Caenorhabditis elegans: one gene and its partner. The protein of the gene in region 1 interacts with the protein of each later gene in a pairwise test. Each region holds a gene or a part of one and is shown on either strand. Other genes may lie near its edges.

The links.
Region 2: the proteins of crim-1 (region 1) and Y69H2.10 interact in a two-hybrid assay, tested with the Caenorhabditis elegans proteins (2 studies listed by BioGRID).

Annotation. Positions count from the first base shown.
Region 1 is NC_003283.11:10,329,081-10,333,783, reverse strand, and holds the start of crim-1 (Cysteine-rich motor neuron 1 protein-like), read left to right. Parts: upstream 1-1,671; 5' UTR 1,672-1,739; coding exon 1,740-1,898; intron 1,899-2,596; coding exon 2,597-2,705; intron 2,706-2,947; exon of another isoform or gene 2,948-3,087; intron 3,088-4,530; exon of another isoform or gene 4,531-4,533; coding exon of another isoform or gene 4,534-4,603; intron 4,604-4,703.
Region 2 is NC_003283.11:18,668,556-18,676,359, reverse strand, and holds Y69H2.10 (TIL domain-containing protein), read right to left. Parts: upstream 6,037-7,804; coding exon 5,955-6,036; intron 5,088-5,954; exon of another isoform or gene 5,021-5,087; intron 5,011-5,020; coding exon 4,228-5,010; intron 4,179-4,227; coding exon 4,002-4,178; intron 1,952-4,001; coding exon 1,856-1,951; intron 1,798-1,855; coding exon 1,523-1,797; intron 690-1,522; coding exon 554-689; intron 511-553; coding exon 341-510; 3' UTR 241-340; downstream 1-240.

The DNA of each region.
Region 1 (4,703 bases):
TTCCGTTCCACTCTTTCTCCTCTATCTCTGAAATTCCTCTTCTAATATTTTTACACCCTCACTAATAACAAAACACCTCTCCTTCTTTACCATACATTCATCTCATTTTCTATCTTTTATCACACCGTTCCTTACCGGTTTCTTATTTGAGGCAGCATGTATTTCAATGAGACCTCCATGAGACGTTTTTTTACCTTTTCCCGTCTAGACCCGCATAATCTAAATGGTTTCAATGTTTCCTTTTCCATCTCTCATCGACTCGTTTTTTGTCTATTTTCTTGTCCTCGTTCACTCAAGTTGATAAGAGCATTTTGAACACATAAAAAATTTACTATGGCCTAAACCAGGCGATTTTTATTGAGTTTTCATAAGAATCGTTTTTTGTGGAACATTGTGTACTTTTTTAAAGTTAAAGAAGTATTATTTCAAATTTAATACGATTTGAATGCTCTTCGATCATTCGGCTGATTGGCATGTCTTCCTAATTAATTGGAAACTTCTCAATAGAATACCACAAAATATAGCACTACCCTTATTGATATACTTTAAGAAACTATTTCTAGGTTTTCTTCGGCTTAAAAATGTAGCACATAAATTTGGTGCCAATTACTTTTTGATATTTTAGTATTGACAAAATTTGTGATAATACCAAGGATAACCAAATATGAGCTGCCAAGATAGAGCATTAAATGTACAAGGCTAATAGGGAAAGTACCGTAATCTTTTTGTAAGGTTGACACGCTTAGCGACCAGTTTTCTGTGTGTTTTTCAGGGTTTCATTTTCTCCAGATTTCAAATATTCCAGGTTTCCTGCTCCTCAATATTCTTTTTTTCTGCATTTCAAACGGTAAATTCTTTAGTGAACGTTGAAGATAATTCCGGAATCATTTGAAAGTTGAATTCTTCAAATGAACATTTTGCACGAGACGTAATAGTTTTATCAGTAATAAAATCACTTGTTATTTTTGAAAACTAGATAACTTCTCTTCTCTTGAAAAACTGTGGAATAAAACAAATAGTTAAGTAAAAACTGTTCTTTTGAGTAGGTAGCATAGGAACATCCACCTATTTTTTTTTGTTTGATCTGGTTCTAGTTTCTAAAGTAAACATGAATAAACTTAGAATCTTTGATGAAAGTCATTATCAATGTTATAACACGGAACTAGGTCTCCTTTGTCAAATGAACTGAGTGTTTCTTCTTAATTATGTTGTTGTTTCTTTCTATTGAATTGCAAAACAAAGTGTTCTAATCCATCGGGCGCCAGTTCGGTATACTACGAGCTTCTGCTACCATCTTTCTGTCTCCGCGCACCTTCATCATTTTGTCTTTCGCCCAATGTCAACAGACCTTTTTTCGTCTCCCTGCTTGCTCGCTTGTGTTCTTTCTCTTTGACAGTGCAGCTTCTTCACCGATCGACTCGGATCACTTTCGTTGTCTATAACCTCTCTGATTCTTGTGCTTTACCGTCGTGAAGATCCCGCGCAGTTCGATTTTCAAAGGCGGGGCCTGCACAGACACAGTTCATTTCAAATTGGGACACTACGAGACGGTCTCTCTGTTTCTCGTTTTACTTACTTTTTCATTTGAATTGAAATCTTAGTTACATGGTCCCAAAAAAATCGACAAAAAATTTATATACATGACTACAATTTTCATATTTTTCTTTGCAGAGCTTGTGGGCCGTTCATCACGCGGCTTCTCCGCTGAACGGCAAAAACGGTTATGCAGAATTGTTGAAATGCAGTGGTCAAGTAGTATTATTTTACTCTTCACATTTCTTATCATTTCCAATGCAAAAAACCAAAAGACCACATTGTGCGGGACATGTGACAAGGATTCATGTCCAGATGTTTCAGGATGCGAGCAATTGAAAAAGGATCAGTGCGATTGCTGCGAAGTGAGTAATTTAAAATTTTGATAGAAAACGAACTATGGTTTAACAATTCTTTAAAACTTATTTTTAAAATTAATTTTAATATTCTAGTTCCTCAGTTTTAATTTTCTTTTTAAAATTCCAGAACATTGAATGTGAGCTTTTGAAATAATTTTCCACAATTTCTCATGACTAAAATTCTAACTATTATCATAAATCCCCAATAACTTAATTATTATTGGACAATGATCAAATGAACAAATGAAAGGATCAAATGCTCAGTGAAACAACTGAATAAAGATGAGCTTTAATGTATTATGCTACACAGTCAAATCAGTACCAAAACGAAGAACCGTTTGATAGAAACGCATAATTCAGATACCGTGTATCCTCTTAGAGCTCTTATTCCTCTTATTCCTATAATGAAATTGCACATAGATAGGTTCCCGATAATTAGTACTTTTTTTACTAATAGAGGAAACACGGTACATTAAAAATAATCCTAATTGCTTTGAAAGTGGTTCAACTTTCTAAGTTTCAAATGATAATAACTGTCCCTTAAATCTTACTTTCGGTTTTTAAACCGCGGTTTTAGTTATAATTTTGTTTCTACAAAAAGAAATACACTGAATAAACTTAAACATAAGTCAAAAGTCTATAAAAAAGTATGTGCGGTCTTTTTTAACGGCTTTCAAACAATAAACAAAAAGTTATACTTGCAGGTCTGCATTCGACAAATCGGTGAAACTTGCGACGGGCCTGGTCTTGTTTGTGATTCGCATCTTTCATGTCATCAGGAAAACGATCTTGATGGTTCAAGTCGATGTAAAGGTATATTTTCTTCAATATTTCAAAGTCCCTTTGCATGTTTCATTCGATTTGAAAGAACTTTGGTTGTTTTTTCGAGGTCCAGAATGCTTCCTAATTAAAAAGAAAAGGGTGCTCTAGAGTTACTATTGGGCTTATTTTATTGCTGAAATTTGATAGGGTTTCTTCTCAGTCTCTCTATCTCTCTCTCTCTTTCATTTTCTCTTCCTATAAAAAATGACTTCTCAAAATGGTGGCGGTTCTCTTGTGCTGAGGCTTCTCGTGTGTGCTCGCCGGACGACGCAATCCACCCTGCTCTCCCGAATATACAATTTCTATTTACTTTACTTCACTCTGCCCGCAGTTTTTTAACCAAAAAGTCCTCTATGTTGTGTCCGCAGATAGGGCGGCTTGCAAAGGTAGAAAATGGGTTGGACTAACTTGAGAATTGAAACGATCTTGTTGTGGATAAAAAATCGGACAATGTAGGCAATGGGGATATCAAGTAATTGAAATATTGCAAGGATTCTGAGCATACCAAAACTTGAATGTTGTTAAAAAATACTTAGATTGTTCAAAAATAAATTGTTTTTATCAATTTCTTTCAAGATCTAGAAAAGGAGTGAGCTAGAAAATTCTTGATTGCGGCATGTTGTTCCAATGTTTGGTAATTGGAAGATTTTAAGCCATCATTAAGCACCTCCCAACTCCTTTAACTCAAAATGAAAAGTTTATAGATTATTAAAACATTTTCTACATTTTTACTGAAATATAATGGAACAACGAGCCACGATCGGCCTTGTTGTAGAATTTCCGTCTCAACCTGATCTCGAATTATTTTATGCTCAAGCACATTTGGTTTTGTCTGGATTTTCAGTTCAAAAATGTACTCCTTCCTGTATTTGTCTATTCCGTGTTGTTTCGTTCAAGATGCCATCAAACTTTAATTCAATTTTCGAATTATGATTGCATAGGAAACAGAAAATTTCAAAAAAAAAAAACGGAACGAATGACTAACCAATTGCGCGACACCGAAAAAGAACAGAGTTTCGAGAAGTGTCTAACCTCTGTCTCCCTCAATTGACTCCGCCTACTTTGTCTTCAAGTGTTGCATAGAGTTGGCCATATGCGGGACGACGTAAATCATTTCGATAATTTTTTTACGGAAAGAAGAGCTTGGTGTCTTGGAGATTAGTAATGGTTAAGCTTCTTTTCATGAAATTTTTTTTTCTATTTTTGTCATCGGCAAATCTTTCTGCTTCTCATTTGAATTTGAAAATGTCTTAGTATATATCAAAAATTATGTGTACATACTTTGAAATTTCAAAATGGCTATTCCCGACATTTCTGTGCTTAAATAACAAGGAAAAATCAGAAAAATTTGATATACAAAAATTATTTTCAACAAATAAAAATAAACTTGTTTGAAACTTCAAAATAAAAATGCCTTTCATTATTTTCTATATTAACTGCAATGAATTTGGTTTCACTATGTAATATCTGTTGTTTCAATTTAGACAAACCGAATCCATTGCTTATAATGTATAAATTGTACTTTGTTTTTCTGCATATTGTAACTTGCCACTTCCATAAAACGCCTTTCATCGTAATGTGTACCAGTTGATTTTTGCTTTGAAATGCATAAAAATGGTTCATATGCCTTGACCAACTTGAAATTGACCCTGTCATCTGCAACTTTTTTGTTCTTCAGTCATCACCAAGTATCTTCTCGGTGTCCACCTGATCAGATGTTCTCATGTTTTCAAATCCTTCTTTCTTTTTTCCATGTGATTTTTGTGTATTTTTGTGCTCTAATCCTCTTTCTCCTACTCACTATATTTACAGCTCGAGAATGCAACTAGTCGTCTGCGTCTTTCTACTTCTCTTCTCATTTGTCAATTTTCTCCGAACGGAGCAATCAGGTGTGCTAGAAGGCATTCTCTTCTTGAACAGATATTGTCAAAAAGAAATTAATAGAGTCAAAATAAGTGACAAAGGGGGTGATGGCGGTAACCACAGAAC
Region 2 (7,804 bases), 8.3 Mb from region 1:
GAATTGCGTCAAGGCACTAGAATTGCGTCATGGCACTAGAATTGCGCCAAAGCATTTGATTTGCGTCAAGGCACTAAAAATGCGCCAAGGAAATAGAATAGCGTCAAGGCACTAGAGTTGCGTCAAGGCACTAGAATTGCGCCAAGGCACTAGAATTTCGCCAAGGCACTTAAAGTGCGCCAGGAAAAATCATTATTCAAGTTTTCGAGTAATTCGACTACGAGAATTTCAAATTTTCCATTTATTTTGTGGTGCTGAGCACAAGAAAATATTCACCAAAAAATTATTTATACATTTCCAATATCCAAATACACAATTTTCACAGAAAATCAGAGAAATTTCAGAAGCATTTAGCCGTCTCCACACAGAGCCCAGTAGTACTCCTCGAGAACCCATCCAAGCATCCACAGCCACTCCAGCAAGCCTTGCAGCTCGGATTTGCAGTTTGGAAGCACACTTTTTCGCAGTTATGACACTTGGACCACGCCTCGTTGTCACTGCATTTGGTTGCTGGAAATATTGATTTTTCTGGAAATTCTGAGCTCCGACTTACTCCCAAAACATTGCCTGGAATGGACACACTGGCCACTGTCAGAATCTCGCTTGTAAGCTGGCCGGCAAGTGCACCCGGGTAGGCATTTTGCCGGGGCTTTTGTGGTAGCGGTTCCGTTTTTGGCTTCGATACAGAACTGAAATTTTCAAATTTTTAGAAATTAAATTGACTTTCATTGATTTTTCTGGAAATTTATCGATTTTTCTGAAAATTAATCGATTTTTCTGAAAATTTATTGATTTTTCTAAAAATTTATTGATTTTTCTGAAATTTTTTGATGTTTCTGAAAATTTATTGATTTTTCTAAAAATTTATTGATTTTTCTGAAATTTTTTGATTTTTCTGAAAATTTATTGATTTTTCTAAAAATTTATTGATTTTTCTGAAATTTTTTGATTTTTCTGAAAATTTATTGATTTTTTTCACTAATTTAAATTTTAATTTTTCCAAATTCAGAATGCGATTTCTTTCCACATATTAAACGGGTGCTCGATGTTGTTCAATGCTTTGATGTAAAAAATGAAAAATTCACCAAAAAAAGAAAAAAAAATGAAAAAAAAATGAAAAAAAATGAAAAAAAAATGAAAAAAGAATGAAAAAAAATGAAAAAAAAGAGAAAAAAAGAAAAAAGAAAGAAAAAGGAAAAAAAAGGAAAAAAAAGAAAAAAGAAAGAAAAAAAATTTTTTTAAAGAAAAAAGAAAGAAAAAACAATTTTTTTAAAAGAAAAAAGAAAGAAAAAAAATGATAAATTTCTTTTGTTTTTTTCATTTTTTTACATTTTTTTTCATTATTTTTCCATACTTTTTTTATTTTTTTTCACTTTTCGTTATAAATATTCTCTTAGACGTAAAAATTTGTGAAAATTTCGAATTTTTCTGTCTCAAAGCCCAATTTTACGCAAAAAATGAAAAAAAAAAGAACAACAAGGGGAAAAAACGAAAAAAGTGAAAAAAAATGACATATGCTCACCTGATTCGGCACCCCTGAGCACGTTTTCTCACACTCTGGCATACACGCCGTGTAGACTTCAGCGCCAGCACACGAAACACCTTCCGTTACAGTAACCGGGCACTTTGACATGAGCTCACAGACCCCATTGATCCTCACATAACCACGTATGCAGGCACATCCTGACGTGCAGGTGGTCGAGTTCATGCACGGCGGGGACGGTTCTTCACAGGTACCCTCACAGCCCGACTTGCACGCCGAGAACTCCTCGTTGGCGCCCACGCATTTTGGGGCTTCTGGAATGGGTTTTGGGTTTTTTGAGGGGGTGGGGTGTGGGGGGGGGGGGGAACTCACGCTTAAGCTGTATGCATTGGGCAGGTTTTCCCATAGTTTGGAAGCAAATGTCTCCGGGTGAGCACTTGATGCCAAGGCATTCACCGGCGGTGCCGTCTGATAAAATTTTCGATGAACTTTGATTAGTTAGGATTTTTCGATATTTTTCGGTGAAAATCGAATAATCGAAAAATCGAAAAATTTTTGATTTTTCGATTCTCTGGAAAATCGAAAAATAGAAAAAATTGTTCAAAAAGTTTACTATAAAATATGAGTTTTTATCGAATTTTGTTTATATTGATAAGAAAAAAACATCTAAATTTCCTCTAAAAAGAAGAATAACGGCGAAAATATTAAGCTAATTTTTGAAAAATCGAAAATTTTTTCGAAGAATTCGAAAATCGAAAAATCGAAAATTTTTCGTTTTTCGATTTTCTAAAAAAATCGAAAAATCGACACCCTTGGGGTTTCGGGGTAATTTCGGGTGGAGAATTCGAATTTTCACTCAATTTTTCAAAAATTTTTGTTTGAAGAACTGAAAAAAAAAACTTTCCCATTGTGACTTGGCCCAAACATCAAATTTTCGCAAAATTAATGTTAAATTCGAATTCCCCATGGTAAATTACCCCGAAACCGCAGTTTTCAGAATTTTAGCGCAAAATTCCGTCAAATTTGGTGCCGGGTTCGCAAACACCATGCTACAGTAACCCAAAACACCGGATTTGACGACATTTTGTACTAGAGCTCTGAAAATCGGGGCTCAGGGGTAATTTTTGGTGGGGAATCCGAATTTCGACTTGAAAATCTAAAATTTTGGGGATTTTGTCTAAATGCACTTAAAATGATCAAAAACGACCGAATATCATAATAAAACACTCTAAAAAATTTTCGATTTTTCATAATTTCCGGTCAAAGTTTTGGCAAATGGCCAAAATTTTGAAAAAAACGAGCATTTGAGAAAATTTAAAGAAATATCACATGTCTCGACCATGAGTGGCAAAAACTGAGTAATTGCCACTTTTTGACAAAAAAAAATTTTCTAAATTTTATATGATTTTTTGAAAAATGAAAAAATCTCGAATTGCATCAAATTCCCATTTGAATTACGCGCCAATAGTTTGATGTTCGATGGAGCGCGCTTGCATCATTTTTAAATATTTATTCATCAATTTTTCACATTTTTGACTGATTTTTTCGTGTTTTTTCGCGTAATTTCACTGAAATTCAGTGAAAAATTTAAGATAAATGCAAATTCTTTATTAAAAAGTGGAGATGAAGGCTCAATGTCATTGGAAAACGTTCTTTCTCTGTTTTTCACTGATTTTTAGTGAACAATTTGCATTTATCTCACATTTTTCACTGTGTTTCAGTAAAATTATGCAAAAAAACATGAAAAATCAATCAAAAATGTGAAAAATTGAAAAATAAAAATTAAACAATGACAAGCGCGCTCCATCGAACTTTTCAGAAAATTTTAAAATTTTAAACCTATTAAAATAAGCGCGCCAAAAGCTTCAAAATTAATATATAATCATGACTAGGTTCTGAAAACTTGGATTTTTCCAAAATTTTGGGTCTCGCCGCGAAAATGAAACAAGCTACCATAACTTGCACAGTTTTGCTGCGAATTTCAAAATTTTTAAATTATGAAAATGAGCGCGTCAAGAGCTTCAAAATAAGTATACTGATGACTAGGTTCTAGAAATTTTGGAATTTCCAAAATTTTGGGTCCCACCACGAAAACGGAAAAGTTACTGTAACTCGCACAGTTTTGATGCGAATTTAAAAATTTTTAAATTATGAAAATAAGCGCGTCGAGAGCTTTAAAATAACTTTAAAATAAATACTCATGACTAGGTTCTAGGAATTTTTGAATTTTCAAAATTTTTCGTCCCACCACGATAACCTAAAACTGGCGCAAATTTTAAAAATTTTCAAATACTCAGATTTAGTTGACTTCAAGCAACTCAAAAACTATTGGCGCGTAATACAAATGGGAATTTGATGCAATTCGAGATTTTTTCAATTTTCAAAAAACCATATAAAATTTTGAAATTTTTTTGAAATTTTCTTACTATGATTTTCGGTCGTTGTAGTACCATAGGCATGTTTTAAAGCAATTTTCCCCACTGGCCCTACCCTCCAGCACTCCTACAGTACCCCTTACCCAGTTTGGTATAACAAGTGTAGGCGTTGCTAGTGACGTTATCAAAGCACTTCATGCCCACTTGACACGGCTCATCAATACAGTAACGGCGATCCGGGAGCCGTGGGATGCAGGTCTGTGTCGAGTTTAGTGGCGACGCGCAGACCTGCGTAGAGGTACATGTAGCGGATCCGCAGGCTGGAAAAAGAGAAGCTTGAAGCCTAAAATATAATCGTCCAAGCCTTACCAGTACTGGGGGCCGCAGGTGGCTTGGTTGTAGTGCCCATTGATGGCGGATTGGTGATCGGAAGCAATGTGGGGAGCCCGGTGAGATTCACTGGAGCCATCGTCGGGAGTCCTAGGATGGTTAGGTTCATTGGGGACATGGTAGGCAGTGCGGGTAGGCTTAGGTTCAGTGGAGCAAAAGTTGGCATGGTGCCAAGTCCCAGGTGGCTCAGGTTCAACGGGGCCATTGTAGGAAGGCTGGGGAGCTCGGGGAGACTGAGATTCAGTGGAGCAAAAGTTGGCATCGTGCCAAGACCTAAATGGCTCAGGTTTAGTGGAGCCATCGTAGGAAGCCCTGGGAAGCTCAGGTTCAGTGGTGCAAAAGTTGGCATGGTGCCAAGTCCCAGGTGGCTTAGATTGAACGGAGCAAGGGTAGGTAGCGTGAAGTTGGATAGATCGCCTAGCACCAGGGGAGCAAATGTTGGCATGGTTGGAAGTGTGAAATTCATGAAATTTGGCAGACTCAGATTCAGCGGAGCCATTGTTGGAAGCCCCGGGAAACTAAGGTTCAGTGGGGCAAAAGTTGGAAGGGTAAAGTTCCCGAAGCCTGGCAGCGTGCCAAGTGTAGGTAGGGTGAAATTTCCAAGGCCAGGAATTGGACCAAATGTGGGTGGTGGTACTGGCGCCATTGGGTTCAGCGTTGGTACGGTGAAGTTCGGAAATACCAGCGGTGGGAACAGTGTTGGAAGGGTCTCATTTCCATATGGGGATACTGTTGGGGCGGGGGGTGTTGTTGGTAGGGGGTCTGAAATTAGAATTTTTGAATTCAGCAGAGCGAGAGCTTTCGAATAAGTATAATCATGACTAGGTTCTAGAAATTTTGGAATTTTCAAAATTTTGGGTCTCGCCACGAAAATGTAAAAAGCTGCCGTAACTTGCACAGTTTTGGGGCGAATTTTAAAATTTTAAAACTATTAAAATTAGCGCGCCAAAAGCTTCAAAATGAGTATAATCATGACTAGGTTCTGAAAACTTGGATTTTTCCAAAATTTTGGGTCTCGCCGCAAAAATGAAACAAGCTACCATAACTTGCACAGTTTTGCTGCGAATTTCAAAATTTTTAAATTATGAAAATGAGCGCGTCAAGAGCTTCAAAATAAGTATACTGATGAAACAAGCTACCATAACTCGCACAGTTTTGATGCGAATTTAAAAATTTAAAAATTATTAAAATAAGCGCGCCAAGAGCTTTAAAATGAGAATAATCATGACTAGGTTCTCGAAATTTTGGAATTTTCAAAATTTTGGGTCTCACCACGAAAACTTGAAGGGGGCCGCAACTCGCACAGTTTTGCTGCGAATTCCAAAATTTTTAAATTATGAAAATGAGCGCGTCGAGAGCTTTAAAATAAGTATACTCATGACTAGGTTCTAGGAATTTTTGAATTTTCAAAATTTTTGGTCCCACCACGATAACCTGGTGCAAATTTTAAAAATGTTCAAATACTCAGATTTAGTTCACTTCAAGCAACTTGAAAAAAAAAGTATGATTATGACTAGAATCTAACGAATTGGAAATTTGGGTCCCGCCACGACTTTATAGGGACGTAGAGGCCAACATTTTCAAAATAATCGGAATATAGTCATGATTATACGTGTTTGAAAACTAATAATGAGCTGAATTCAAATTTTCACAAATTTAAGTTTAAAAATCATAAATTTTCAAGAAAGGTCAACAAAAAAACCCACCACTTCCCGTCGATTTTTCTGGAAAACCGATCAAAATAGCGCATAAATACAGTAACCCTAGCAATGATGTTTTTGTGAACATATTACCAATGTCAAATGACATCAAAATATGTTATTTTATAGTAATTCGAGGTTTAGACCAACAGTTAAGCCGATAGGGAGAGAGGTTTGGTGGTCGTAAATTGGAAAAACAAACGGCGATGGGGGGATTTCAGAGATTTTCATCGTGATTTGTACTTTTCTGAGGGTGTAGTTTGACGAAATTGTTGAAAATTTTGAAATTCCACATTTTAGGGGAGTTTCAGAAAAAAAAAAAAAAAATTTTTTCAAAATTCTCAAAAAAAAAATTTTTTTCAAAATTTTTTTCTGCTATTTTTATTCAAATTATATTTATAAGCAGTTATCTGATTATTTTTCCAGTCATAAGATTTCATTTTTGCCCACTTTGCACCTCAATTTTTGATTTTTTTTTTCTTTTTTATGTTTGTAAATATTTGCTGTGTATTTAGTTTTTGATTGATTTTTCTTGTTTGCTTGGTAATTAGAACTGTTTTTTTTTACTTCCTGATGTCTATTTCTGTAACTTCGGTGCAAGTTTACCTGAGGAACTAGATTTTAGCCGGCTTTTCAAGCCTGAGGGGGGGGGGGGGGGGGGAATCGACAACACCCACCAAATGCTCGACTTCTAAAAAGTGGCAAATTTTTGTAGTTAAAAACTGGTTGGCTTATGAAAACTTACGATTTTTGTGTGGATTTGCATGAATAAGCATTCTTTGAAAATTTGAGAAAAAAATATCAGAAAATTCAAAAAATTTTTTGAAAATCGCAGAATTTTTTTTTTCAAAAATCTCAAAAAAAAATTGATTTCCAAAAATTTTAGTTTTACTACATTTTATGTTGTTTAACTATATACATTCTTGTTGTAACATCAACTTTGTCTTTTTATACCTAAAAGGGCCACAATTTCCAAATACACCAGCCTAAAAGAAAGCGACAACACCGATTGCTCGAGTGCCAAATTTAGTCAGTGTACTACTAATTTGTCAAGAAAATTAATCTTAATTTTAGTGTGAACTAAAACTAATATAAATATTTCAAAATTTGAGAATAAAAATTCAGAAAATTGGAAAAAAACGTTTTATTTCTCAAAAAAAAAATTTTTTTTTCAAAATTATCCAAAAAAAAAAATTTATTCATTAAATTTTGCAAATCATAATTTATCATTGCCTCGCTATAATTAAAAGTGCTGTATTCTGAAGAATCCAGGTCAATGGAAATTGATAACACCAATTGCTCACTGTCTAAAAAGAGCCGAATTTTGGCCGTTAACTACTGATTTGTCGAGAAAATTGTACATAATCTCTATGTCATAATGTGTTACATAATGTCAAACTAATAGAAATAGTTCAAAACTTGAAAAAAAAATTCCAAAAACTCAAAAAAAAAATTTTTTTTGAAATTGCAAGAAAAAAATTTCAAAAATCTTTAAAAAAAAATTGTATTTCCAAATTTTCTGTTTTACTATACTATACTTTTTTTTAAAACTTTATATGACTGTTATATCATTTTCTGTCCGTTTCTAGCTGAAAAGGTCACACATAATTCCCAACTAAACCAGCCTATGTAAAAGAAAGCGACAACACAAATTGCTCGTTCTCAAAAAACTGCTCAATTTTTAGAGATAACTACCAGTATGTTAAGAACATTGTACTTAACTTTTGTGTAAATTCAAACTATTACAAAAATACTGAAATTTGAAAAAAATAACAGTTTTTCAAAAAAATATTTTTTTTCGAAAAGTTAACAAAACATTTTTTTTCAAAATGTTCAAAAAAAATATTTTGCAATAT